7 linked regions of the Canis lupus familiaris genome follow. The main gene of each other region encodes a partner of the protein of the gene in region 4 in a complex. Links are inferred from orthologs where the notes say so. Each region holds a gene or a part of one and is shown on either strand. Other genes may lie near its edges. The genes, in order: RRN3, POLR1H, UBTF, POLR2H, GTF2F1, TAF1B and GTF2E2.

What was found.
Region 1: POLR2H (region 4) and RRN3 share a complex: the UniProt entries of both Homo sapiens proteins name them as parts of the pol I pre-initiation complex. The link is inferred for Canis lupus familiaris from reciprocal best matches to the Homo sapiens genes POLR2H and RRN3.
Region 2: POLR2H (region 4) and POLR1H share a complex: the UniProt entries of both Homo sapiens proteins name them as parts of the pol I pre-initiation complex. The link is inferred for Canis lupus familiaris from reciprocal best matches to the Homo sapiens genes POLR2H and POLR1H.
Region 3: POLR2H (region 4) and UBTF share a complex: the UniProt entries of both Homo sapiens proteins name them as parts of the pol I pre-initiation complex. The link is inferred for Canis lupus familiaris from reciprocal best matches to the Homo sapiens genes POLR2H and UBTF.
Region 5: POLR2H (region 4) and GTF2F1 share a complex: the UniProt entries of both Homo sapiens proteins name them as parts of the TBP-based Pol II pre-initiation complex. The link is inferred for Canis lupus familiaris from reciprocal best matches to the Homo sapiens genes POLR2H and GTF2F1.
Region 6: POLR2H (region 4) and TAF1B share a complex: the UniProt entries of both Homo sapiens proteins name them as parts of the pol I pre-initiation complex. The link is inferred for Canis lupus familiaris from reciprocal best matches to the Homo sapiens genes POLR2H and TAF1B.
Region 7: POLR2H (region 4) and GTF2E2 share a complex: the UniProt entries of both Homo sapiens proteins name them as parts of the TBP-based Pol II pre-initiation complex. The link is inferred for Canis lupus familiaris from reciprocal best matches to the Homo sapiens genes POLR2H and GTF2E2.

The regions. Positions count from the first base shown.
Region 1 is NC_049227.1:28,745,348-28,748,847, forward strand, and holds part of RRN3 (RNA polymerase I-specific transcription initiation factor RRN3), read right to left. Parts: coding exon 3,377-3,500; intron 1,406-3,376; coding exon 1,297-1,405; intron 1-1,296. UniProt on the Homo sapiens protein: Required for efficient transcription initiation by RNA polymerase I (Pol I). Required for the formation of the competent pre-initiation complex (PIC).
Region 2 is NC_049256.1:27,778,227-27,782,320, reverse strand, and holds the start of POLR1H (DNA-directed RNA polymerase I subunit RPA12), read right to left. Parts: upstream 2,801-4,094; 5' UTR 2,755-2,800; coding exon 2,364-2,754; intron 2,280-2,363; coding exon 2,179-2,279; intron 1,881-2,178; coding exon 1,771-1,880; intron 717-1,770; coding exon 692-716; 3' UTR 648-691; intron 78-647; 3' UTR 1-77. UniProt on the Homo sapiens protein: Core component of RNA polymerase I (Pol I), a DNA-dependent RNA polymerase which synthesizes ribosomal RNA precursors using the four ribonucleoside triphosphates as substrates. Can mediate Pol I proofreading of the nascent RNA transcript.
Region 3 is NC_049230.1:19,061,984-19,064,670, reverse strand, and holds part of UBTF (nucleolar transcription factor 1), read right to left. Parts: coding exon 2,578-2,687; intron 2,284-2,577; coding exon 2,242-2,283; intron 2,118-2,241; coding exon 2,004-2,117; intron 1,917-2,003; coding exon 1,761-1,916; intron 1,447-1,760; coding exon 1,291-1,446; intron 1,189-1,290; coding exon 1,078-1,188; intron 458-1,077; coding exon 369-457; intron 265-368; coding exon 75-264; intron 1-74. UniProt on the Homo sapiens protein: Recognizes the ribosomal RNA gene promoter and activates transcription mediated by RNA polymerase I (Pol I) through cooperative interactions with the transcription factor SL1/TIF-IB complex.
Region 4 is NC_049255.1:17,408,546-17,412,809, forward strand, and holds the start of POLR2H (DNA-directed RNA polymerases I, II, and III subunit RPABC3), read left to right. Parts: upstream 1-1,464; 5' UTR 1,465-1,626; coding exon 1,627-1,699; intron 1,700-3,065; coding exon 3,066-3,149; intron 3,150-3,232; coding exon 3,233-3,326; intron 3,327-4,264. UniProt on the Homo sapiens protein: DNA-dependent RNA polymerase catalyzes the transcription of DNA into RNA using the four ribonucleoside triphosphates as substrates.
Region 5 is NC_049241.1:54,168,236-54,172,515, reverse strand, and holds the start of GTF2F1 (general transcription factor IIF subunit 1), read right to left. Parts: upstream 2,801-4,280; 5' UTR 2,338-2,800; coding exon 2,326-2,337; intron 2,240-2,325; coding exon 2,193-2,239; intron 1,672-2,192; coding exon 1,599-1,671; intron 1-1,598. Other genes in the region: adenylate kinase isoenzyme 1-like, read left to right, coding at 2,985-3,078. UniProt on the Homo sapiens protein: TFIIF is a general transcription initiation factor that binds to RNA polymerase II and helps to recruit it to the initiation complex in collaboration with TFIIB. It promotes transcription elongation.
Region 6 is NC_049238.1:6,879,370-6,883,434, reverse strand, and holds the start of TAF1B (TATA box-binding protein-associated factor RNA polymerase I subunit B), read right to left. Parts: upstream 2,801-4,065; 5' UTR 2,714-2,800; coding exon 2,696-2,713; intron 1,045-2,695; coding exon 946-1,044; intron 1-945. UniProt on the Homo sapiens protein: Component of RNA polymerase I core factor complex that acts as a GTF2B/TFIIB-like factor and plays a key role in multiple steps during transcription initiation such as pre-initiation complex (PIC) assembly and postpolymerase recruitment events in polymerase I (Pol I) transcription.
Region 7 is NC_049237.1:34,561,308-34,564,807, forward strand, and holds part of GTF2E2 (transcription initiation factor IIE subunit beta), read left to right. Parts: intron 1-1,280; coding exon 1,281-1,388; intron 1,389-2,959; coding exon 2,960-3,142; intron 3,143-3,500. UniProt on the Homo sapiens protein: Recruits TFIIH to the initiation complex and stimulates the RNA polymerase II C-terminal domain kinase and DNA-dependent ATPase activities of TFIIH. Both TFIIH and TFIIE are required for promoter clearance by RNA polymerase.

The sequences.
Region 1 (3,500 bases), on a different chromosome or scaffold from region 4:
TGCTCCCAGCCCACAAATATTCTAGGAGCTCCTGTCTCAGCTTTTCTTCATCTGCTGCTTCCCACCTTCCCGCCATGTGCTGGGCCTTTCACACCCCAGACCTTCTTGCTTGCTCATTCCTTTCCTCAATTCTGTTATCATTTTTGAGATCTCAGGACGGGCCCCAGAACTAGTCCTCAGGAGACAGAACACCTTGAACTACAAGCCTAACAAAAGAAAAATAAGGGCCCTAAGTAAGAGCAGCAAGTGATCTAAAGGGGATTAAATGATGAAAGAATTATCTTTGTCTTGTACCAGAAGAGACTCCTAGCTGTTATAGATTTTAAGCCATGATCCTAGCCTGAATATTCTGATCAAGGGCTCAGAGTCTCCATCTCACTTTGTACTTTAGGCAGAAGAATTCGGAGAGGACCAGAGACTGCCTGTGTTCACATGCTGGCTCTGCCACCAGGGAGCCCCTTCTCATTAGTCATCCCGTCTCTCTGGGTCTCCACCTTCTTTTTTTTTTTTAAGATTTTATTTATTTATTCACGAGAGACACACAGAGAGAGGCAGAGACATAGACAGAGGGAGAAGCAGGCTCCATGCTGAGCCTGATGCAGGACTTGATCCCAGGACTCCAGGATCAGGCCCTGAGCCAAAGGCAGATGCACCTAACCACTGAGCCACCCAGGTGTCCCTACTTTCCTCGTTTTAAGCAGGGCTTACCACTACAGTCCTCACACGGTGAGGACAGTGAGCTGAGTGTGATACCCGTCCAGGTGTGCAGGGACACAGCACCTACTCTGCACGGCCTGGAGTCATGGGCCTGACTGGACGGCCCCTGTAAGAGCCTGTCTCCTACTGGCATAACCCTCTCACATCCCGTCTGTTTATCATCCTAATGAATATCTTTGTAAAAATCATAAAAAAACAAAAGCTTAACTGCAATGTTTCCTGCAAGTACACGCTTACTGGTTTTTACATGTTTTATGGTTATTAATTTTACTGAATAATTTCATAGAAATTTAGGGGAATTGTACAATACTGACACTAACATAAATATATATATACATATATTTTTTAAAGATTTTATTTTATTTATTCATGAGAGACACAGAGTAGGAGACAGAGAGGCAGAGACACAGGCAGAGAAGAAGCAGGCTCCGTGCAGGGAGCCCGACGTGGGACTCGATCCCGGGTCTCCAGGATCACGCCCTGGGCTGCAGGCGGCGCTGACCGCTGAGCCACCCGGGCTGCCCCATAAATATATTTTTAAATAGTTTCCCCCCCGTAAGGTAAAAATAACTTACTTACCTTGTGATTGCAGCAAAAAAGTTAACTACCGAAGGCAGACAAATCTTCAGGGGATTCAGCTGACTCATCACTATACGTTCAAAATTTAGACTTTGAAGGTATCTCAAACCTTTGATTAAAAAACAAAACACTTTATTAAAAGTACAAACATAACAGTCTAAGTATCTTTAAGCAGCACAGATTATCTCACACATCAAAAAAAATTCTCACAGTTATTTGCAGAAATGCTTTAAATAACTGAGGTCCATGTAGTCACACAATGCAGAGCCCCACAGAATGTCACCAGGCTTAATCACACACCTCCTTATGACGAAGTCAACTTTTCTAAAGAAAACAGCATATTCTTTCAAAGACACAGGAAGTAAGCACACATCTGTAGTGAGCAATGAACTTCTGTGACAATTTGGAAGTTGGGTACTTGTAAGCTCAGCATATCCTGAGTTTAGAGGGTGGGGGGGAAACCCACGTGATTTGATTTCAGTTAATCATGAAATCAATACGAAGCTGAGGCAACACTCAGTGTCCATTCCCAAGAGGTAGTGACTATACAATTTGGAGTTTCTCCTTCCTTACTTCCACAAACAGATAAATATGCCAATCCGACAAGAGCAAACAAACAGCAAGACCTGAATGTCTGAAATTATTAGTGAAGTTGAGCAAATTATTCAAGTGTGCAATAGCTGTTCATTTACCAGTTGTGTTTTTTTTTTCACAAGGAAACTACAGAGGTAGAGCTACCACTCTCCTGGAACAAGTAAATATAGTTCTCTCCTATATTAGTAAAAGAAAGCACACTTATTTTTAAAGGCAAGCAAGCCAATCTATGCTTAAGTACATTTTTCTTAGGAGATTCTTTAATGTATTTTAAGTTTTATTTAAGTAATTTCTACACCCAACGTGGGGTTTGAATTCACGACCCAGAGATCCAGAGTCCCGTGTTCTTCTAAGCCAGCCAGACACCCCATCTTTGATGTATATTCTGATAAAAATAACTAAAAATGTCATGGCTTTCAAGAACTACATCCTCTTTAACCAAGACTCTTACCATTTTTTAAAATTTAAATTCAATTTGTCAACCTATCTTACCATTTATTTACATACACAAAAAAAATACTTTGCTTACGTTGTGCTAAAACCTTGTCCTTCTCCTGATTTATACAACTAGTCCTAATCTTTTTAGAAGTAACAGGATATAAGTAAATACATACAATCAACACATACAGTTCAATTTCAGAGCTGTGGTTCTCACCTCTTAAGGCAGCTGTGCCCTCGAGGAGGACATGTGGCAGTGTCTGAGAATTTGAGTTGTCACAACAGAGTTGGTGGGGGGAGGGGGGCCTAATGCTACCAGCATTTAGCGGGTAGAGTGCCAACCATCATAGAATGCCCAGGACGGAGCCCACAACTAGAGAACCAGCCCCAAATGTCAGAGCTTGAGAACATTTGGTTTAGAGGAAACAGCTTATTAAACCACTTGAATTATTCATGCAAATAAATAAAACCATTTAAGTTGACTTAATGCTATTCTTGTCACACTAACCTGATAAACAAGCTTCATCTGGTAGATTTAAATTATATACACAACCCTCAGAAATTAGCAAAACTGAAGATTAATGCTTAAGTCCTTAGATAAAGCAGAGTAACTGTTAGGACCCCAAGCTTTAGAATCATACCCATCTGGTTTTATTCTCTAATCCTGCCAATCAATATCCTGTGTGTGCCTAGTCCCCACAAGGGGGAATGATGCCTACTCTTCAGGGGCCATCCCGAGGACAGCAGGGAGCACTGTGCCAGGCCTCGCCTCTACGAACAACATCTTCACGGTTCACAAGTACTCTAGATGCCACCCTCTAAAATGGAGTGCTCAACCTCAAGTCCATCCTCTGCTCCAGAGGGGCTACAAAGGGCTTTAGGAGCTCAAGGGCTGCTGGAAAATAAGGGTCAAAGTCTGAGTGCATGGACATTATTCTGACTCCAGAGTTTTCACGAAATTCTCAAAAAAGTAACAACTCTCCCTTCTAAAGAGTGACTGGCATCCCAGGAAAATCCAGTTCACATCTGTCAATCCCACATCACTGACCTTCTTTCAGGTTTCCACTTAATAGCTGCTTGTGTCTGAAAACAAAAGTGTAGAACACAGCCTGGCAAGCTGAGTAAAAGGGTCCATGGAGCGCAACGTCACAAAATGCCTTTGCTCCTGAATC
Region 2 (4,094 bases), on a different chromosome or scaffold from region 4:
GTTCCAGCTCACACGTCAGACACATCTGGTTACGTTATCTGCTTATCTCCCAGCATCTGGGCTCCTGCTTTGTTTCCCTAAACTCAGGAACCAAATACATTTAGTCATGGAATACTTGTAATTACTTAAAAAAAAAAAAAAGATTTATTTATTTATGTGAGAGACAGAAATAGAGGCAGAGACATAGGCAGAAGCAGGCTCCCTATAGGGAGCTGGATGTAGGACTCAATCCCAAGACCCGGGAGATCATACCCTGAGGTGAAGGCAGATACTCATCCACTGAGACACCCAGGTGCCCATAATTACTTTTTATATTAGTCTCATTCCTGCCTCCATTTTTTGTCTTTGGTAGTTTCCTTTTTCCCTTTTCCTTCTCATACACTAATTTATACTATATTTTTTGTAGCTGATATACTTACTGAAAGAATATATTCTCTGTAAATCCATTTAAATTCCTTTTGGAACAAGACATTATAAATAACAGGTATGTCTGGCTTATATAGAAAAACGTAACCTTGATAAAGAAACTCAACTACAGTAGGTGTACTGTAGGGACAATGGTAATGCCCACATGATAATCTCTGTCTATGGGAGCAAAGCACTGCAACCAGGATAGACAAAGCATCTAAGAACCCAATATCCCTCACCTTTCAAGGAAGAGGGAGAACTGATAAGGTGCCCAGAAAGAAAATCAAGAGTCTTCCTTCTCCTGGAACCTATGGAGAAAGAAAGGACTCATTATATTTAGGCACAGAGGTTTTAGCAGTATAAGACAAACATTCACGTGAAAAATTAAGGAGGGAGTTTTATTTATGACATTGTAGATGACTAGCTCCCCGAAACAATCCTTCAAATTCAAGACAACTAAAAATCCTGGACTAAAAACCTAAAGGACAATGAGATAAAATCTCACACAGATCAAAATGGTTAAAAGTAATAAGTCAGGAAACAACAAATGTTGGCAAGGATGTGGAGAAGTGGGGAACCTTCTTGCACTGTTGCTGGGAATGCAAACTGGTGCAGCCACTCTGGAAAACAGTGTGGAGGTTCCTCAAGAAGTTAAAAATAGAGCTACCCTATGACCGGGCTGGATGAATCTGCACAACCTGCGACTGTTATCTTGGGGTTGAGTTCAAGCCCCACAGTGGATAGAGATTATTTAAAAACAAAATCTTAAAAAAAAAAAAAATTTATTTACTCATGAGAGACACAGAGAGAGAGAGAGAGAGAGAGAGGCACAGACACAGGCAGAGGGAGAAGCAGGCTCCATGAAGGGAGCCTGATGCGGGACTCGATCCCAGGACTCCAGGATCATCATGCTGTGGGCCGAAGGCAGGTGCTAAACCACTGAACCACCCAGGGATCCTGAAAGCTAGGTCTTGATAAGCGTGGTGAAAGTACAGAACACCGAAGACAAGGAGTTCTCAAATGGTTCAGGTCTCTCTGGTTCCTGAAATCACAGGTGATTCTCATAAAAGCAAGAGCACTGGAACAAGCAGCAGGATTCAACACGCAGACCACCCAGAAATACCTGCCTTCTCTCTGTTCTCACTCCTTTAAACAGCTTAAAAGCTTCGCTTCACTGGCTATAAAAAAAACTAACAAAAATGTTCTTTTTCAAAAATAAAAAAAAAACACAAATGTCCCTGTTACCTGAAAAGAGGACAGGACCAAAGGAAATAACCGGTTCTTGGGTACAAGAGGGAAGTCACAGGACATGTGTGGTTAAGGGCCAGAGGGAGAGGGCAGAGGGCCAGGGAGGGGGCACACCTGCAGCTGGTGCAGGTGTAGAAGACGGTCTGCCCCTCGTCAGCTGAGCGCATCTGTCTGGTGTGGTAGGCCATTCCCTCGTGACCACATCGGGAGCAGCGCCTGTCAACCTGGCAACCAAAGGGGGGGGGGGGTCAGGGAAAGCCAGGATGACCCCTGCTTCCTACAGGAATCTCGTTGCATGCTCTCCCCAGCACCCCTGCTCCAAAGACCTCTGTTTCCCCAGACCTCAGCACTCAACCCTGCAGCCCTTCCCGCTCTCCCTGTGGATCAGTGTTGGCATCACTCACTCACCACGGGTCGCTGGAGGTCGGGCTCCTCCTGCACACCCGTTACCCCAGACTCAGCACTCAACCCTGCATGTCTCCCCGCCTTCCTTGTGGGTCAGTGCTGGGGTCACTCACTCACCACGGGTCCCTGGAGCTCTGGCTCCTCCTGCACCGGCGCGGGCACCGCCGTCCCCACCTGGTTGAACACGATGCGGGTCCTCACCACCTTCCCCTCGAAGTCTGCGGAGCGGTAAGCGCTGGCTGCGGGCACCCCCGGACCCTCCGCCGCCCCCCGCAACCCGGCCGCTCCCGCCCCCTCCTCACCCCGCACGGGGACGCCGAAGCCACAGCGCACACAGGTGACCGCGTCCTGGGCCCCGGGCAGGGGCAGGACGGAGCCGCAGTCCGGACAGAAGTCCAGGTCCGACTGGAATCTGGAGCCGGAGGGCGCGGGGTCCATGGCGCAGAGGGTGCGACGGTGGGCAGCTCCGGTTCCGTCCAGGGACCCCGGCGGCCGCGAACCGAGCCCTCCTCCCTGGACGCGCGAGGCTCCGCGGGAGGACCGGCCGGCGTAGTGCGGTCCTCCAGGGCAGGTGAGAGCACCCGCCGAGCGGAGCGGGCTAGAGCATCCGCCGCGCAGACGCCCATTGGTCGTGACGTCACAATCCCTCGCCCAGACCGCAGTCCGCCGCGCCGGCGCCCTTGGGTGTAACATCACAATCCGGCGCCCAGACTGCTGTCCGCCTCGCCGGCTTCTGTGGGGTTGTGACGTCACAATACGTCGCCCCGACTGCTGTGCGCGGCGCTGGCGCCTTTGGCCGTGACGTCACAATCCGGCGCCCGGCGCCCCGAGAGCCCCAGAGCGGGGGTCGAGCGCCGTGGGAGACGGACGGAGGTGCCGACGCCGGGATAGGAGCTCGGGTAATGGCCGCTGCGCCTCCGGACACTCCATCAGGAAGAAGCGCAGTCCGGGGATACGTATTTTCTGGGACCCAACCTCGGGAGCGTTGCTTGTGGAGATGTTGCTGAGCTTCCCGAACGCCGCCGCGCCGCCCCGGAGCCAGTGGGCCCAGCTCCGCCCCGCCGGCCTGACGTGCCCAGGACATGCTCTAGGAGCGGGCGGGCCAGGGAGATGAGGGCGAGGGCCGGGGGCGGGGCGGGGCGGGGCGGGCGGCCCAGGCCCGGGGCTGACTTGGGGGCCGTCCCCCTCCGCCGCGCCCAGCGGGTCACCGGGGAGTGACGAGCACGGTTGCCGTTCCCGAGCGTAAGGCTCACGGTCGCTAGGGAGCCGAGCTGCGGCCGCTCGCCAGTAACCACCGTCTGCGGGGCACGAGGAGTTTCTGAGCCGCTGCCCCCGTGGCTCCCGTCCGCCTGTCCCCGCAGGACGTCGTTCTGTCCGGCTCGAAGGGGGCGGTCTGCCGTTTAGACCGCGAACGTTAAAATTAGCCTGTTAACCTCTTTGACTCTGCTCCCGACTCCGTGACCGTGCAGTGCTGCTCCACGCAGAGTCCAGCGCGATCCCGATGGGCCGGTGTCGTGAGGCCCGGGCCTTTCCAAGTGTCTGTGGAGCTGGGGCGGCACCGTTGGAAAGGATGCTGTGACCTCAAGGGGTACGAAGGACACGGTGGAACCCGCCACGAGAGACCCACACAGGGCCTAGGACTATGGTGTCTGCACCTCCAGGAGGACTCGCTGATGTTTCAGTAAAAACGTGGACATGGCACCTCAGGAGCAAAGGAGAAAGGTGCTCGAATACCAGCGACAAGGGAACCAGAAGATGAGTTCCAGAAACTGTTGCTGAACACAAACCGTGCTGGGTTGTGTTCTGAAAAGTAATAGGACGGTTACCTTTGTTAAATATCAGAATAGGTGTCCACGGACAGATAGGAACATAGGCAGGAAGTCAGTGAGATCCAATAACTGATACCAGGCTCATTCCAGTAACAGAGACACATCGTATTTGTCAATCTAAATTATAGATTACCTCCCGTTTACAGTCTAAATTTCAGCATGAAAGTGTTACAAATGATACAGGTATCACCATGGAAACCCTGG
Region 3 (2,687 bases), on a different chromosome or scaffold from region 4:
AGGATCACACCCGGAGCCAAAGGCAGATGCCCAACCACTGAGCCACCCAGGTACCCCCACCCCAGCCCTCTCACCTTGACCCAGAGGTCCAGATGTACTTTGTACTGCTTCTGCTGCTCCTCTGCCAATTTTTTGTAGTGCTCTTTCTGGCTCTGGGAGATGCGCTGCCAGCGGCTGCCAATCTCCACCATGCGCTCTTTCAGCGGCAGGTGGTTCAGCTCCCCATTGGACAGCAGCTCCTGGGAGAACTTCTGGTAACCGTTCCTAGGTGGTAGAGTGGCACAGGGAGGGTTAGGACGCCTACCCTACAGCCATCCAGCCATGACCCTTCCTGCGGCCAAGGTGGGTTCTAGCCCCCTTAGACTCACATGGGAGGCTTCTTGGGTTCTCCTTGAAACTTCATCTTCTTGGATGAGTTTGCAGCAGTTGGGGGTGCCCGCATCTCACTCAGCTCTCTCTGTGGGGACACTCAAAGGAGTCACGCTCACTCCACCCCTCACCCAAAATTATTTCTACCATCTGCCCCACGCCATCAGTTGCCTTAGAAACTGAGGCCGAGGGATTCCTGGGTGGCGCAGCGGTTTGGCGCCTGCCTTTGGCCCAGGGCGTGATCCTGGAGACCCGGGATCGAATCCCACATCAGGCTCCCAGTGCATGGAGCCTGCTTCTCCCTCTGCCTGTGTCTCTGCCTCTCTCTCTCTCTCTCTCTGTGACTATCATAAATAAAAAAAGTTAAAAAAAAAATTTAAAAAAAAAAAAAAAAAAAAAAAAAAAAAGAAACTGAGGCCGAGCGGAGGAGCTACGTCCTAACAGGTCACACCTGGGCCAGGCGCCCCTGCTTGGAAGTGCTGTCACAACTACACTCACATGACTGGTCTCACAGCCCCCATGTACTGATTGATGTGTGACTGAGGCTCAGAGAAGGAAGCTGGCAGATTTGCTCAGGGTCACACAACCAAGGCTGGGACTCCCAGCTCCACAGCCCACCCACTGAGGACAGCTGCCAGCCCAAAAGGGTGCTCTGACCCCCAGCTCCCTAGGGGCCACCATGCTGACCAGCAGAGCCCTTCTTCCCACCTCGTATCGCTTTTGGTCTTCGGCTGCCTTCTTAATCCACATGAGTTTCTCTTTCTTCTCCATGTTGTTCCAGGTCATCTCCATGGCTTTCAAGGCCTTCACCCGGTCATTCTGGAGAGAAACAGAGGCATCAGCTATGGGAGGGGTCACCTGGGGCTGGAACCGGCCCGCGAGGGCAGGCCACTGAACAACCCCTTTCGGGCTCCCTGCCACCTTGAAGCGGGCCAGGTAGTCCCCGATGACGCTCTGCTGCCAGATCTCCTCGGCTCTCTTGGGTGACTCGGGCAGCTTGCCCCGGTCCTCGCGGTCCCCGCCTGGCTTCCTCTCCGACTGGGCCTTCAGCGCCGCCTCCCGGGCCTTGTACTTGGCCTGCGGAGGGCCGGCAGGGCGTCATCCTTCCGGCCGCCCCCAGGGGGCGCGCGTCCCCCGTCCACAGTGGAGGCACCCCCCCCTCTCCCGGCAGGGCGGGGCCGGCAGAGGCTTGGGCCGGCGCAGATGTCCCCCCCTGGGGCTCGGCCTGGGGCTCAGCCCGCCAACCGGCTCTGCTCCCCGGGATGCTGCGGAGCTGCGGGCCCCCTCGGCACCTGAGCCCAGGCACAGGGAGGGCTAAGGGAGGGCTAAAGCGCAGGCCGTGGCTGAGGAAGTGTGGCCCGCCCCTGGGGGAGAAGCCCCCGAAGCCTGACCTTCTTCTTTTCGGACAAGTCGTTCCACATGCGGGCCAGAAGACGGGTCAGCTCGCTCTCCGAGAGCTCGGGCCGCTCCTCCTGCAGCTGCCGCCGCTTCTCTTCAGAGAAGATGAACATGGCCGACACCGGCCGCTTGGGCTTCTCTGAACCGCCCTGTCGGTGGACAGAGGTCGGGTCCGTGGGGGTGTGGACAGGGAGCCCCATGTTCCCCCACCACCGCCCGTTGTGCCCCCTGCCCACCTTGCCCCCTTCCTGCGAGGGCTTCTTGGAGGCGGGGCTGGTGGCTTGCTTCTTGTTGATGCTTAACATCTTCTCCTCCCCCAGGACCCGCTGCTGTTCCTCCTCTGGCAAGCTCTGGTCCAGAGACAAGACGTGGCATGGGGCTGCGCACCTGGGAGCCAGCTCCTCCCAGGTAGTCCAGAGGGCCCTGCTTAATCCCAGGGCCTCTGCCCAATGCCCCACCTACGAGAACACTCACCTCTAGGAAACGGAGAAGCTCCACCTCATAATCTTTCTTTTTCTAGGAAAGAAGGGGAGTCCGGGTCAGTGTGGGCACATACCTGCTCGTTCCCAAGGGACAAGAGCCTTCTACAAAATGTTCGGAGCCTGGACAGGGCCTAATCTCCTTCTATAGACACTAGACAGGCAGCCTGGGGGCCATCTGGCTTGATCAGCCCAGATGCTAAACCTAGCAGACTAGACGAAGTTTGTAGCAGGTGTTTGAGACACGTTTGACCACTGACTGACCCCTAGTTGGGGTCAGATACTCCCAAGGCCCCAAGGGTCTCCAGACGTCCTCTTTAGCACAACCTACCTGGTCACACTTCTTGTGGTAGGCATCCTTCTCCTTCTGGGAGAGCAGTTTCCACTGCTGGCTGCATAGCACCATGCGCTCAGTGCTGGGCACGTCCTTCATGTTGGCCA
Region 4 (4,264 bases):
CTAAATCACACCCTTTGGGCTCAATCTCTCAGGAGTGACGCCTTCTCTTGCTTCTGGGGGTGGGGGTGGGGGGGCGGGCAGCGGCTCAGACGGGCCTCGCAAGGCCCCTCTCTGCTCCGTCGAGGGTGAGAAGCAAAGCTGGAGGGACTCGGAGGGGGACGCTAGGCCCAGAAGGCGGGGGTGAGGACGTGATGCTCGGAACTGAGACCCTCCCGTGTCTCTCATCCTCTTCCCTCCTCCTCTTCTCCAGGGTTCCTCTTCTAGGAAGTCACACCTGGAGCAACCTGGCCTGCGGGGTGTACGGGGTGGAGACAGGGAGGAAAGGTGAAGGGGTGAGGCCCGAGGGGAGAGATGTCTAGGTGCTGGCGAGGAGGCTCCTGGAAGGCGGGCGTGGGGGTACAGAGGTCGTTTTTCCCTGGCGGGGCCCAAGGAGAAACTCGAGTAGCTGCTGACGTCTCGCCGCCACCTGGGGATCTGTGTTCTCTCTCAGGGTCTGGAGAAGGATGGAGCAGAGGGTGGGGTGAGCACAGGGTGGATGGACAATGTAGGAGAGAGCGTGTTAGGGGAGAGGCGGGTGCCCAGGACACGGGCAGTGTGCGGGAGGACGCAGTACCAGGATGGAGGGGCCCGCGGGAGGCAGAGGCGGTGCCCAGGAAGGGGCAGTGTGAGAGGAGCGGCACCCAAGAGGAGGGGGGGCTCGTATCCGTGGGAGCGGACGGTGCCAGCCTGAAGGGGCACGTAGATCAGCGTCCAAGGGAGAAGGCGGGGGGGGGGGGGCAGGTAGTACCAAGCTGCAGGGGCAGCGCTGTGTGATGGGGTTAAACGCCAGCCGTCAGCCGGGCTGAAGAGGCGGAGTGGAAGAGAGTGGGGCCCCGGGGAAGAGGGCAGTGGTAGGGGGGTGCTGTACCAGGGGAAGGGACGAGCGCAGGCTTTCCTCTTCCCCATAGTGACATCATGGCAAATTCCCAAACGGGACGGAGCCGGCTCGGGTGACATCCAGCAGGGCCAAGCCGGTCCAGCCCGGTCCAGCCCGGTCCAGCCCGGGCCCGGCTAGGAAGCCTCGGTGCCAGCTGTGGGGACTGGGCTCTGCGCCCCGCAGGGTCAGCGCGCTGGGGGCGGAGTTCCGCCCCGTCCGCCCTCCGCGTGGACTGTGCCCTCGGCGGGCACGCAGACCAGCAGGGGAAGGTTTGCGCCGGGCTTCTCCGGGCCAAGGATCAAGGTCCCGGGCTGGGGTAGGCCCGCCCGCATTCCAGGCGTCCCGACCCGGCCTCTCAAGAGGGCGCAGCCGAGCCTCCGCGTACAGCGAGACGCCGCGCCGCCTCGGCTGGAGGTGGAACTAACCGGGTCCCCGCCCCGGGGCGGAGCCACCCGGCCCCGAGTCCCGCCCCCCACTCCCGAGGCCTCTCGGAAGGCGTCGTTCGGGGCGGAAGTCCGCGAGCCCCGAGGCCCAGGCGGCGGAAGTGGCGGCGGCGCTGCCTGCCCGCGCGCATGCGTGTTTCTAGGGCTCTGCGGCCGCTCTCTGGGCGCGCGCTCTCCTTCTCTCCTTTACTCCACGCGAGGGGGAGCGCGTACCCCTAGGCGTGGTCGCGCTCCCGGCCCCTCTCGTACTCTCGTGGCCACCTCACCATGGCGGGCATCCTGTTTGAGGATATTTTCGATGTGAAAGACATTGACCCGGAGGGCAAGAAGTTTGACCGAGGTAAGGTGGAGGTAGACGTAGGGGCGGCCGAGTCAGGGGGTAACCTCCTCGGGGACACGCCTGTGGGCCCCTGGTCCACCCACGCCGCGTGGCCCGCCCCTGCCGGCAGTTCCTGACTCAGGAATCCCCATCAGGAGACCTTGGATCGATGGGAACTCGGCGTCTCCCGAACTCCGCCTGGCTCCACACAGGCTGGCCCGGTGCCTGGGTGGCCCGTTCTCATGGTGCTGGTGCACCCCCGTGCATCTTCCAGTCGCTCCCCACTCTGCTGGGCGCTGTAGCGTGCACCTTACACACACTTCGTCCTGCCCAGTTCTCTCAGGAGCCTCCATGAAGTAGTTGGTGTCTTACCCATTTTGCCCCGAGAAGTTAAGTAAGCTACCCAAGGCTGCACAGTGACTAGTCCGACTTCAGAGCCTGTATTCTTGTATTGTCCTGAGAATCTCTAGCCCTTTGTGACATCCGCTCTGAATTAGGATTGCTGCTTGCCATACAGCTCTTTATTCTGCCGTTGATCAGACTGGGCCTCCTTGGGGGTCTCTTCTTTTGTCCAGAGACTGAGATGTTCTTCAAGACAAACACCAGGTCTTAACAGTCCTGATAGTCCACTCAGCACAGCAGCTGGCACAGAAAGACAAAACTTTTTTTTTTTTTTTTTTAAGATTTATTTATTTGATAGAGAAAGCAGAGTGAGAGCGTATGAGTGAGGAGGAGGGGCAGGGAGAGAAAGAGAGACAAGCAGACTCCCTGCTTGAACAAGGAGCCGGATGCGGGGCTCCATCCCAGGACCCCGGATCACGACCTGGACTGAAGGCAGATAAACAACTGGGCCACCCAGGCGCCCTGAGACAAAACCTTTGGGGGGATCCCTGGGTGGCTCAGCGGTTGAGCACCTGCCTTTGGCCCAGGGCGTGATCCTGGAGTCCCGAGTCGGGCTCCCTGCAGGGAGCCTGCTTCTCCCTCTGCCTTTGTCTCTGTCTCTCTCTCTGTGTCTCTCATGAATAAATAAATAAAATCTTTATAAAAAAAAAAAAAAGACAAAACCTTTGGATGAATGAATAACTTGTCTAAAGTCAGGTTGTTTGTTAATCACCTAGGCAGGCCTAGAACCTGGATATTATTTATTGCCAGAGGGACCTTTGGTTGTTTTCTGGGATTCTGTCCACTTGCCATAGTTTTCACTCCTTTCCTTCTGGCATATCTGGTTCTCATTGAGTCTGCACTTCTTTGAGAGCAGACGTGAGGCTAGTGGATGCAGATGGGGTTCGAATGAGTGCTCAATTGCATGTAATCCCCCAAAGTGGGGTCTGCAGGGTCTGCAGAGCCTGGCAATTACCTATGCCACTCTTTCTCTACCTCCCTCCAGTGTCTCGGCTACATTGTGAGAGTGAATCTTTCAAAATGGACCTGATCTTAGATGTAAACATTCAGATTTACCCTGTAGACTTGGGTAAGTATTGAACACAGACAATAGCAGAAGGCTTTTTGACATTTCAGCTGTTCTTTAGCCTCTGGTATTGCCATGATTTTCAGGTGACAAGTTCCGGTTGGTCATAGCCAGTACATTATATGAAGATGGTACCCTGGATGACGGTGAATACAACCCCACAGATGATAGGCCTTCCAGGTGAGGAAGTGAAGTACTTCCCTCTCAGGAAAGGAGTACTTGAAATACGCTTGAGGACTAAGTAGATAAGTGGTATAGGAAAAAACCCTTATTTAATTTGTGGAATAAATGATTATCAGTAGTATCTGAGCAACCTTAAGGAAATTGCTGCACTTAAGAATTCAATGGGGATCCCCAGGTGGCTCAGCGGTTTAAGCGCCTGCCTTCGGCCCAGGGCATGATCCTGGAGTCCCTTCGGCCCAGGGCATGATCCTGGAGTCCCGGGATTGAGTCCCGTGTCGGGCTCCCTGCATGGAGCCTGCTTCTCCCTCCGCTTCTCCCTCTGCCTGTGTCTCTGCCTCTTTTTCTCTCTCTCTTTCTCTCTCTCTCTGTGTCTCTCATAAATAAATAAATAAATAAATAAATAAATAAATAAATAAATAAAATCTTAAAAAAAAAAAAAAAGAATTCAAACAACCAGGTAGCCTGGATGACTCATGGCTCAGTGGTTTAGCGCTGCCTTCAGCCCAGGGCTTGGTCCTGGGGACCTGGGATCGAGTCCTGGGTTGGGCTCCCTGCATGGGGCCTGCTTCTCCCTCTGCCTGTGTCTCTGCCTCTCTCTCTCATGAATAAATAAATAAAATCTTAAAAAAAAAAAATTCTAACAACCAGGTGTTTTTCCAGGGCAGCAATTACATGCTTGTGGGTTGTACCTTATCGATGGCTAAGGAGATGACCATCAAGTGACCCAGGCTATGTGAGCCTTGCGTCTTGGGAGAGAGTTTGGTGTGATGGAAGGGCTTTGGAGCTCTACTGAGTTCAAATCTCAGCCCTATCAGTTCTTTGTTGAATGGCTTTAACCTCTTGCAGCCTCAGTTTCCCCATCAGTAAAGTGCAGATGATCACACCTTGCTCATATGGTTGCTGGGAGGACTAAATGGCATTGTGTTTGGAAAACG
Region 5 (4,280 bases), on a different chromosome or scaffold from region 4:
CCCCACCCCCACCCCCAGAGTGATCAGGGATTTGGAAACACTCCACCTTCTCTGGGTAATTTAGGTGAGACCAGAGGTTGGGGGAGCATGTTAGTTTGTATATGAATGTGCATACGGCTGGAGATGCTGGGGGGCAGGCAGCCTACAAGGGAAGAGGGTGCCCTGAGCAAGCATCCACCTGCCCAATATCCAGAGGGACTAACGTCTCTTTCAAATAGCCTCACTTGCTCAACTAGATGAAGGGATGTTTAAAAACAGTCAAAAGACAGACCGGTGCTGAAAACAGGATGAGCAGCAGGAGCTGCCTGAAGCTGCCAACTTTAGACCTGGGCCAACTCCTGTGCTGGGCTGGTCCAGTCTCTGTGGCTTCAAATGCTGCCCCCAATGCCCAGATGCTCCCTCCCAGTCTCCCAACTCAGATGCTCCACTGCTTATTTACTGTCTCCTCCTGGGTGTCTGATATAAGATGTTGAGAACTGAACTCCCAATACTCTGTCCATCCGGCCCTGTCACCCGTCAACATCCAATCATTAACAAATCATGTTGGCTCCACTTTAAAACACACTAGAATCCACTGACTTCTCACAACCGCTGTTTGCTCCATGCCCAGTCGTCACTCACCTGGACCACCGCCGACGCCTCCACCCTGCAACACCCTTTGTCTGCCCCTGATCCTATAGCACCCAGATCAGTTTATAACTCCCCTGTTTAGAACCCTTTAAAGGTTTCTGCTATAGACTGAATGTTTGTGTTTTTTTTTTTTTTTTTTTTTTTTTTTTTTTTTTTAAATTTTTTTTTTATTTATTTATGATAGGCACACAGTGAGAGAGAGAGAGGCAGAGACACAGGCAGAGGGAGAAGCAGGCTCCATGCACCGGGAGCCCGATGTGGGATTCGATCCCGGGTCTCCAGGATCGCGCCCTGGGCCAAAGGCAGGCGCCAAACCGCTGCGCCACCCAGGGATCCCTGAATGTTTGTGTTTTATCCCAAAATGCATATGATGAAACCTAACTCCCGGTGTGATGGTATGGGGAGGTGGGGCCTTGAGAAGGGGATTAGGTCCGAAGGGTGGAGTCCTGGTGAATGAGATGAGTGCCCTCTTAAGAGCTCTCTCACCCCCTCTGCCACGTGAGGACACAGTAAAAAGACAGACATCTACGAACCAGGAGGCAGGCCTTCACCAGACCAAACATCTGCTGGCGCCTTGCTCTCAGACCTCCTAGCCTTCAGAACCGTGAGAAATAAATATGTGTTGTTTAAAAGCCACCCGGTCTGCGGTATTCTGCTGTAGCAGCACCCATGGACAGAGCTTCCAAAAACCATCTGCAGGCTGCAGCCCCCTCGGCCTTGCCCAGATGACTCTAGGCTGGAAATGCCCGTCAGGGGGCACAACTTCTAAATGCCATCCTTTCATGAGGCCTCCTGTGGGGCCTGCCCAATCTTCCTCACAGGGATCCCTAGCAGCTCAGCCTGGGCCTCAGTACATCGTCTTATCCCCACTCGGGGAGCGGGGTCGAAGCCAAGCCTTAGTTTTACCACTGTAACTAAGCGCCTATTGCAGGATCAGGTTCTTACGCTCACTCCCAACGGGGACTTACCTGATTCCAGGTAGCAAAGTTGACTTTGTCAGCAGCATTGAAGGCCATGATGTTGTATTTTTTCGTTGTGTTTCTGGGGTGGGCAAAAAGAGGGCTGCTCTCAGTTCACCGTTCATTTAACAAACCCTCCCTTGGCTCAGCAACGCTGGGGACCCACAGAAGCCCTCAGGGGTTCCCGGTCTCTCCCGACCCCTCTGCTGAAGAAGAGCAGGAGGGGAGGCATAAAGGTCGGGGGACGGGGGGTGCCCAAGGTGTGGGAATAATGGAGACCTCTGTCCTGGGGGCGGGGGCGGGGGAGGGCAGGCAGGGCATGTTTCCCAGAGGAGGAAGATCGTGGGGCTGGGTTTTATAGGACCGACAGGAGTCACAACGCCAGGGAAAAGGCCTTCCTGCCGAGAGAAGGCTAGGCCAGGGGGCTGCATCCGACGTACCGCCCACTAATGGGCTCATTCATTCATTCCGTTGCAAACACGGGATGCACCTCGCTCAACCCCAGCCCTGGGCCCAGGTCCCTGCTCCTCGGGAGGCGGCATCACCGGCGGCGCCAGGCTGGCCTGGGAGCTCAGGAAGCGGGGAGAGGGCTGCGGGACTTACTTGGGAACTCGGACGACATACTCGGTGACGTTCTGGCTGCTGGGGCCCTGCGGGCAGAGAAGGAGGGGCGGTGGGTGAGTGGGGGGCTGCAGAGGCGGCGCGCCGCGACCCCCGAGCTCCCCCGTGTACTCACGAGGGCCGCCATGGTGACGGTCGGGGGTTCGGGTCCGCTGCGGCCCGCGCCCCTCAGTCCCGGGGAAGCCGCCCGCGCGCCGTCGGGTCTCTGGCCCGGATCGAGGGGGCCGCTACCCAGAAGTCGGTCTTCTCGGGGAACCGCTCCGGCCGCGTCTGCGCCTGCGCCTAACCTGGACGTGACACTCGGGCCGCGGCGCGACGGCAACCTCCTCCGCGTCACCTAGCTCCCCGAGTCCCGCGGAGCGGACGGCCCAGACCGACCCCGACGCGGAAGACACCCCGGCTGCGGCGGAAGCCGCGTCGCGCCTCTCTATAAAGCGCGACTGATTTAATCAGCCTGTGGCCACGCCTCCTCGTGACATCACATCCGGGGGCCGCGGGGCGTCCTGGGAGAGGAGGGAGGAACCTAGCCTCCCTCGCGAGCTCTCGGGCGCCTCGCGCATGCGCCACTGCACTCCGGAAGTGAGTCGGAGGAGGCCGCGTCACCATAGCGACCGGGGCCTCTTAGTCCGCGCCGAGCTGTTGGGGCGCCGCCAGCTGCGCCCCTTTGGGTTCATTTCCTCCTTCTGCCCCGGGGAGACCTCATCGTCTCGCCAAGTGATCGGGCCCTTGTGACGTAGAGCCGAGCCAGGAGGAGGAGTCAGGGCCCGGGTGGGGATGGGGCGCGACCACCCCAGGGCCGCTGGTGGGATGGGTCTGTGCAAGTCCAAGCTGCCCGAGGTGGGCAGGCCCCTGCGACCCCAGGAGAAGGGTAACGTCGCAGGGGCGGCTGGCTCACGGGGCGGGGGGGAGGAAGGAGGCCGTGAAGGGCACGAGGGAGGTGCAGGTACCCCACACCCCAGGCCGGTGTGCACACGCCCCGCCCCCCACCCACCGAGCTGCACGTGCTCGAGGATCAGCCGCGCTTTGATCCGCTTGGGCACCTGCTGCGCGGGGTTCTGGGCACTCCACGGCGAGTATGTCACACTAGCTGTCCGGCCTCCAGGAGATGACAGTGTAGACAGGGAAGGAGACAGTCTCAGAAAAATGGGATCGGCGAGCAGGAGGGAGCAGGGCTGCCACGGGGAGAGAGGAGCCGGCTCTGCGGCCCCCAGGAGAGGGGAGGTTTAAAGTTTACGTTGGGCCCTGTGGGATGCCTGGGAATTCACTAAGCCAAGCGGGAGGGAAGCAAGACACGGAAATTGCATTATCGACTACTGCGCTGCCTTAGAGACGCCTGGTAGCCACGCACCTTCGTTTGCTCATCACCCGCTACCGCACGTCAGGGACCGTGGCAACTGGTAGAAACCCGGGGACCAGCAAGACAGAACTGGTCCTTGCCCTCCCGGAGCACAGAGTGTGGCTGGGGAGACGGACAAGAACAAGGAAACAGGCAAAATCCTAGCTGACCGTGGCTGCTGCAGTGGAGGAAATGTGGCCCTGGGACGGGATGATGCGGGGGGAGGTCGGGAGGGGAAGCCTGATGGGCGGGCGGGTGGGCTGTGTCCTGAAGGCGGCGGAGCAGGGACTTGGCGTGCAGGGGGAGCAGCGGGAGAGGGATGAGTTTGGCAAGTTCAAGGGACAGAAGAGGCCAGGGGGGCTGGACCAGAGGGAAGGAGGAGGAGGGCGTTGTGGGATGGCCCAGAGGGGGCGCAAGTCTGAGCCTGTTTCCTCAGCTGTCAAACGGGACAATCGAGTCATTGAGGTTTTCAAGGAGATGCTGTGTGCAGAGGGCATGGCCTGCTCGCAGTCTGCATCCTCTTCGCAGCCCCCCAAACCCGCCCCTGTAGCAGCGCTAACCCGTGCCCTGTGTGGATATACCACTGGGCATGGATGCACACCCCCAGATGCCACCCTAGGGCAAAAATGGGTAATGCCAGGAGACCCGTGTCCCGCGTCACTCACCCGAGGACACACACTAGGCTGTGGACACAGACACATCGGTGCGTGCTGGCCCCTGCAGGCACCAAACCC
Region 6 (4,065 bases), on a different chromosome or scaffold from region 4:
AAATCTAGTCCCTGCTACTCCATCTTGGCCAAAAGCAGAAGTCTACACAGTTACTTTTATCTGTCTCAAATTTGCCTTTCTTAAGTCTATGTGGTAAATGTAATATTTGTTCTTTCCTGGCTTTGGAGACTTTGAGCAAATCTTTTTCCAAAGTGGAGCCCTGGCATGTTTACCTGTCCAATAGCTGACTGTCCACACCCTTGATTATTTTGGTTATATTGCCCTGAATGTGTGGTGATTAGAACAGGACCTAACACTCACTCCCAGTGTGAAGGGGGCCTCATTTACCAAGGTTATATCAGACAGTATGACAATCTCTAGTGTAAGAGGCAGGTGTGATGGGGTAAAATGAGCACTGTAGTCACAAGACTCAGGTTCACGTCCTGGCTCAACACTTTATACTTGTGTGACTTTGGCAATCTCATTCAACTCCTGAGCCTTACTTGCCCCATCCATGGATTGGCATGGTACTATATCTCACAGGTGTTTATGAGGAGGAAATGAAATAATGAATAAGACTTTGTAATTTCTAAAGTACTGTACAAAGATAAAATGATAATGAAGCATATTTCCAATATTCCCGTCTTCAATCTTTACAACATTCCATCTTCCAAACCTCTAAGCTACCACAACACATAAAAACTTATATAGGTATTAACAAATAAAGAGAAATGCATCACCTTATAAGTACAATTTTAATTATTTTCCCTTATATTACACAGTCTGAATCATGAAATTATTTATAAATGCAGCCCAACATCTTTTCAAAAACCCATCCTAAATCTAATTCCTTAACTCACGTGTAAACACTTGAAGACTACTTACGTTCTTGGAATTTGGGCAGTACATGAGTGACAATGATTATTTGGGAACTAGGCTACATATCAGGCTAAAATAGCAATTTTTAAAACATTAGCAGACTCATAAATGATCTATATTACTTACTTCTGTAACGTTGTGGCAAGAAGTGCAATAATATTTGCCTTCATCAGTAAGACCCCAGGAGACAGCAGCACACTGAGTACATCTTTCCTTGAACTCTTTCTATAGAATATAGAAAAGCTGTTACTATCAAGCCATATTCAACACACTGCACCTAAACCCTGCAGTTCTACTTAAAGGGTTCCCTGGAATTTTAACCTACAGATTAAAAGAAAAAAAGGAAGGAAGGAAGGAAGGAAAGAAGGGAGGGAGGGAGGGAGGAAGGGAAGGGAAGGAGGGAGGGAGTGAAGAAAGAAAAATGTATCCAAGAGATTAACTATAAACAAAGAGAAAGAAAGAAAAATGTATCCGAGAGATTAACTATAAACAAAGAGAATAGTTCAGTCTTTTGAATAGTTTGAAGTGGAATTAAATGATTTAAAAAGTTTCTAAAACACAGTGTGTGAAGGGGGAAAAAGAGGAAGAAAAGGTGGTAGGGGTAAAATGGGAAAAAAGGATGAGTTACTAAAACTGCAAAGTGCTGTGAGAAAAAAAAAAGAGGACAAGATTTAAGTAAAGACAAAACCTTAAAAATAAAAACTGCAAACCATTTGGAACTTTCTCAATGATACTAGAAACACATACAGCAAAAGAACCAGATTTTTATTGGGGTTGTTCCGAGTTTCGATTTATTCATCCAGCAATATAAGGAGCATCACCTGTGTACGCACGAGGCATTTAACTAGGGGCCGGGGATTCAGCGGTGAGCAAAACAGACGTGATCTCTACTCACAGCAAACACGGGCTAATGGTGAGATACAGTCACTAATTTCATTAACCCAGCACGTACGGACGTTAGCCTCCATCATCCAACAAACATTTATTGAGCATCTATAACAAGTAAGGCCTTCTATCACCCTAACGCTTCTGTACCTACACAGGCAGACCCTAAAAGGATGGGTCTTTGACCTTCTCTTTGATCTAATTGCCGAATACTCCTTTACCGCAGCACAAGAGAGCAGTGGTTGGCGCAGTGTGTCAACAACAACAAAAAGGAATGCGGAGGGGCACCTGGGTGGGTGGCTCAGGGCGTGACCCCGGGGGGTCCTGGGATCCAGTCTCGCATCAGGCCCCTCCCTGCAGGGAGCCTGCTGCTCCCTCTGCCTGTGTCTCTGCCTCTCTCTCTCTCTCTCTCTCTCTCTCTGTGAGTCTTGAATGAATGAATGAATGAATGAATGAATGAATGAAATCTTTAAAAAAAATGAACCCGAATTTATTTCAACAACAATCAATAAATAAAATCTTAAAAAAAAAAAACCGAACCCGAATTTATTTCAACAGGCCGGTGAAGTGTGCGGTGCCCGCGTCCTGATCACCTGGATAAATTACCCTGGAGAGTTTGGAATCACCGGACGGTGGCGGGGATGCCGAGGGACAGTTGCGGGGTGGCTGGGGGGGGGGGGGGGGGGGACTCAGGAGCCAGCCCGTCGGACCCGGCTCTCCCACGCCCACCCCGCCGTCCAAGGAAACTTGCGGGTGGCCCGGTCCAGAGGGGATGGGCCCGTGGGTGGCCACCCCATAAAACCCACAACTCCGTCCTCCTCCAGAAACACACCCACGTGGACGCCCCGCCCTCCCTCACCCCCACGCTCACCGGGCCCGAAACGCCGGCCTCTGTCCCCGAAGCGCGCGCCCCCCCCCGCCCCGCCCCGGCCGCGCCAGCGCTTTCCCCGCCCCGCAGCCTTCCGCCTGCCCCGCTCCGGCCCGTGCTCACCGCCTCCTCCAGGTCCATAGCGGTGGTGGTGCCGCCGCCGCCGCCCCCCGGCCGGGCCCGTTACCCGGGCAGCGAGCGCAGCTTCCGGGAGCGCCGGAAGGGGCCCGCCGGGCGGAAACCCAGACCGCGGCTTGGGGTTCCGGGCGCCTGGGGCTGCGGGTTCGTCTCCGCGCGCTGCGGGGAGCAAGCCCCGCGCGCCCTGCAGCCCCAGCCCAGGCTGCTCTCCTCCGCCCCGGCGACCGCCCTGCAGCCCACGTCGGAAGGAGGCCGCTCGCGCCTCCCGCTGAGCCCGCCGGGTCCCAGCGTGGACGCCGCCGCCCCGTCGGGCTTTCACAGGCGCGGGAGCGGCGTGGGCTCCGGGAGGGAGGCGCGCGCTCGCGGAGCTGGGCCCCGTGCAGGCCCCGTGTGGGCGCCCTGGGCCTCGGTTTCCCCCGCCGTCAGACTCGGCTACTGGCTGCCCCGGGTAGTTGGAAGCTGGGGGAGGAGTCTACACCGTCTGGCCCCTGCTTTCAGCCCGACGCTCGAGGGGAGAAGAGTCCGACCGGGGCAGAGGCAGAGGTGGAGAGAAGGCCAGGTCCGCGGGGGCTTGCGCAGGATGAAGGTGCGGGAGACCGCGGGAAGCTCGGACATTCTGGAGATGCGGGCTTCGAAGGGCCACGAGGATGCCCGACGGGCGGGAGGAGAGAGAGGCAGGGATGACCGCAGGGTCTCGGGCCTGAGCGGCCTGAGCGCCTGGGAGGGGTGAAGCCCGACTGAGCAGGGCCAGGCCGCGCGGGGACAGCGTGGGAATCGGGGAGAAGAGGAAGCAGGAGGCCCAGGTAGGATGAGAGGACAGCTTGATCAGGGAGCCGAGCGCTCCCAGGTGACGTCTGGACTGGGAATGCTCTCGGCCTCGATGGTATTTAAAGTCCTGAGACTTTCGAGATCATCAAGAGACTGGCTCTTCGCGGCGCCTGGGTGGCTCAGCGGTTGAGCATCTGCCTGCAGCCCAGGGCGTGACCTGGAGACCCAGATCGAGTCCCACATCGGGCTCCCTGCAGGGAGCCTGCTGCTCCCTCTGCCTGGGTCTCTCGTGAATTAAATAAATAAAATCTTAAAAAAAATAAAAATAAAAAAAGACACTGGCTCTTTATTCACTCACTCCTTATTTGCTTGTCTATTTATTTATTTCACAGTTATTCAACATCCACTCTACGCCAGGCACTGTGCCAGCTATTGGGAAATGAGAGGACAGAGTCCCTGCCTACAAGAGCCATCCAGTCCAGTGCAACAGTCGGTCACATTATTTTATCATGGCACTAGACAAGTGTTCTGTCCAGTTGTGTCACCCATGTCATTTGCCAGGCTTGCCTCTGTGCGACTTGAGACTC
Region 7 (3,500 bases), on a different chromosome or scaffold from region 4:
GGTAAGTATAATTCCTGGCAGTGGAATTACTGGATTATATGGTATTGCTAACTTTTTGAGGAACCTCCATGTTGTTTTCACAGTGGCTGCACATCTGCATATGTTTTTTAACTCAATACTTTGTCCTGGACATCTTTCCCTATTAGCACGTAGAGAACATTTGCATTTTATTTTTTTAAGACAATATTTATTTTGGAGAGCGAGAGTGCATGCGCACTGGCACAAGTGGGATGAGGGTGGGAGGGAGAGAATCTTCAAGCAGACTTCCTGCTGAGGGCAGAGCCCGATTTGAGTGAGGTTCAATCCCACAAGATTATGACCTGAGCTGAAACCAAGAGTTGAATACTCAACTGACTGAGCCACCCAGGCGCCCCTGCATTTTCTTTTTAAACATCTGTATAGTATTGTAGTGGTGCTATAGTTTATTAATTAGTCCTCTGTTGATGACCATGGGTCATTTCTAATGTTTTCTTTTTGCAACCAGGGCTGCTGTGACTGTGTCACTAATTGTGAGTTGTGTGGGCATATCTATCTGTAAGGTACATTCCTAGAAATGGATTGCTGGGCCAAAGGGTTAAATGCATTCTTATTGGCAAATTGTGTTCCCTAGGAGTTGTATTAATTTGCGTTTTTACCAGCAGTGTGTTGGGAGGGCGTGTTTCCTTATAACTGACAGAGTCATCAAACATGGATTTTGCCAGTGTAATAGGTTTGAAATATTTTGGTGGAAATTGAGTATCTTTTCATATGTTTATTTCCATTCATTTTCTGTGATTTTTTTTTTTTTTTAAGATTTATTTATCTTAGAGAAAAAGAGAGGGCTGGGGGTGGGGTCAGAGGAAGAGAGTCCTAAACAGTCTCCACACTGAGCACAGAGCCCAATGCGGGGCTCAGTCACCACCCTGAGATCATGACCTGAGTTGAAACCAAGAGTTGGACACTTAACTGAGTCACCCAGTGCCTCTTCCTTTTCTGTGATTTATGTATGTTCTGGTCCGTGGGTCATTTTCCTGTTAGGGTTTTGGGACTTTTAAAATATTAGGAGGATTAGCTCTTTGTGATACAAGTTGAGAATATTTTCTCTCAGTTTATCATTTGATTTTAAAGAGCTACAAGTTTGAACCTGGTTCTGATTTTATAGTCCCATTTTCTTCATCACTATAATTGTATTGTCTCAAATAATACATGTTCTACATTCCTGAAAGATTCATTTACTTCTATTACTTAATGCATCTAGCAGTTTAAAACTGTCTCCTAATAACAGTTTCTTCTCTCAATAGACACGGCATCAGCGAGGAGATACACACCCTCTCACTTTAGAAGAAATTTTGGATGAAACACAACATTTAGATATAGGACTCAAGCAGAAACAGTGGCTAATGACTGAGGTAAGAATAGGCTTAAAATGGAGTTAAAAAAATTAGTTGGTTACCATGAAATATTTATTACAACTAAGGTTTTTAATATACTGAAATCTGATAATTATTTTTACTTATTCTTAAAAGAATTGGTATAGGGTCTTTGTTTTTTAAACATACACATTTTTTAAGGTGGTTTGATTTGTTGATTTTCTTAAAAATTTATGTATCTAAAATGTCAAAGACCTTTAGCATGGAATTATAAAGAAGTCAGTCATTGTACTGGTTCCATTTAAGTTTTTACAGATAATTGATATTTTTTTAATTGCTAAATTTAGAATTATATTGTTTTTATATATGTTTTAGAACATTTGAATTATGAGGTAGTGTAGGGCTAGGGAAATATTTGTTATGTTCTGACTACTATTATGAGTTGATAGTGATGTTACTCTGACAGATTACTTGGAAAACTCATCCTTACATTGTGTATGTACACACATTATTGGAAAAAAAGAAACCCCACAATAATCACTGGCCCTACTAATTTGGAAATAGCATTTTTAAAAATTCACACATTTCAGTCTTTTCTTTTTCAGTATGAAATGAAAATTAGGATTACTTTCTGTGACCCATGTTGTATTCTAAAGATCAAATGTAAAATTCCTAAAGTATAATTCAGTAATTTTACTGAGCAAAGTATTGTTCTTAATTTTTATAATATAAAATCAATGGCTAATCAGTAACATTATAGCTTGTTGTGGTTGTGATATACAAATAGTTGTCATCCACATTTGAATTCAGTTGCTTTACCTAATCTTGAAATTTCATAGGCTACCAATAATTAGTTAAAAATTATTTTTATTACTATTCTGTTCTCCCTCCTTTCTTCTATGTTTCTTTTCTTTCTCCTTTTCAGGGTCAGGCTGGCAGCTGCAGAAGAAAATAAATAGGGTAGCTCTTCCTTGAAGAGCTTTCCTTCTGGTAGTAGCTGTACAGCAGAACTGACTAGGAATATAATTATATTCAATAATTCCTGCATTCCTACTCAGTTTCATTCTCAAGCTGCCATTATAGGTAAATTTCTTGTATGCACTAGTCTGGTGCTTTTCCGTTCCTTCCACACCTGTAATTGCCATCTGATACCAGGTGGGGCAGACTGTTGGTATATTCATCCCAGGGTGATGTTTACACATAATGTCAATATATAATAAACTGTACTTTGAGGGTGGGATAGGCAGTACCCAGTTCACTTTGTCTATTAATGTTAATTGGCATTTATTGATTCTTTATCTTCTTTTATCTTCCAAAAAATATGGGTACAGTTTCTTCACATCAGTTGTGATGAAATGGTTTTTCTCCTTTAAAGAATTAATGTAATAATAAAAAGTATCATCATAAAAAGTGAGTAACATGCTGCTCTCTGCCTATTGGTTTTTGGATCCTGGATGTCCAGTATTTTAGATCTGCTAGTTGATATTCATAATATACTTTTTAATTTACAATTGTATTGGGTATCGGTATTTTTTAAATAGTAGAATTTAAGAATGTGTATATGAGGTTTCTCCTTTTATTAATATATCCAAATTGTGTCACTGTTACAGGCATTAGTCAATAATCCCAAAATTGAAGTAATAGATGGGAAGTATGCCTTCAAGCCCAAATACAACTTGAAAGATAAGAAAGCCCTACTTAGGCTGTTAGATAAACATGACCAGCGAGGCTTAGGAGGAATTCTTTTAGAAGACATAGAGGAAGGACTGCCCAATTCCCAGAAAGCTGTCAAGGTAACTTCTCTTTTCTTTCTAAGCCTTAGTATAATTTGAATTAATAATGTCTTGTTTTAAAAGAAACAGCAAGTGTTTTTAAATTTTTTTTTAAAGCTTCCATTATAGGGAATCCCTGGGTGGCTCAGCGGTTTAGTACCTGCCTTTGGCCCAGGGCGTGATCCTTGGAGTCCTAGGATCGAGTCCCACATTGGGCTCCCTGCATAGAGTCTGTTTCTCCCTCTGCCTGTGTCTCTGCCTCTCTGTCTCTGTGTCTCTCATGAATAAATAAATAAAATCTAAAAAAAAAAAAAAAAAAGCTTCCATTATATATATTTGGGGTTGCGGTGAGCCAGCTGAAGATTTGATATTTGGGTTC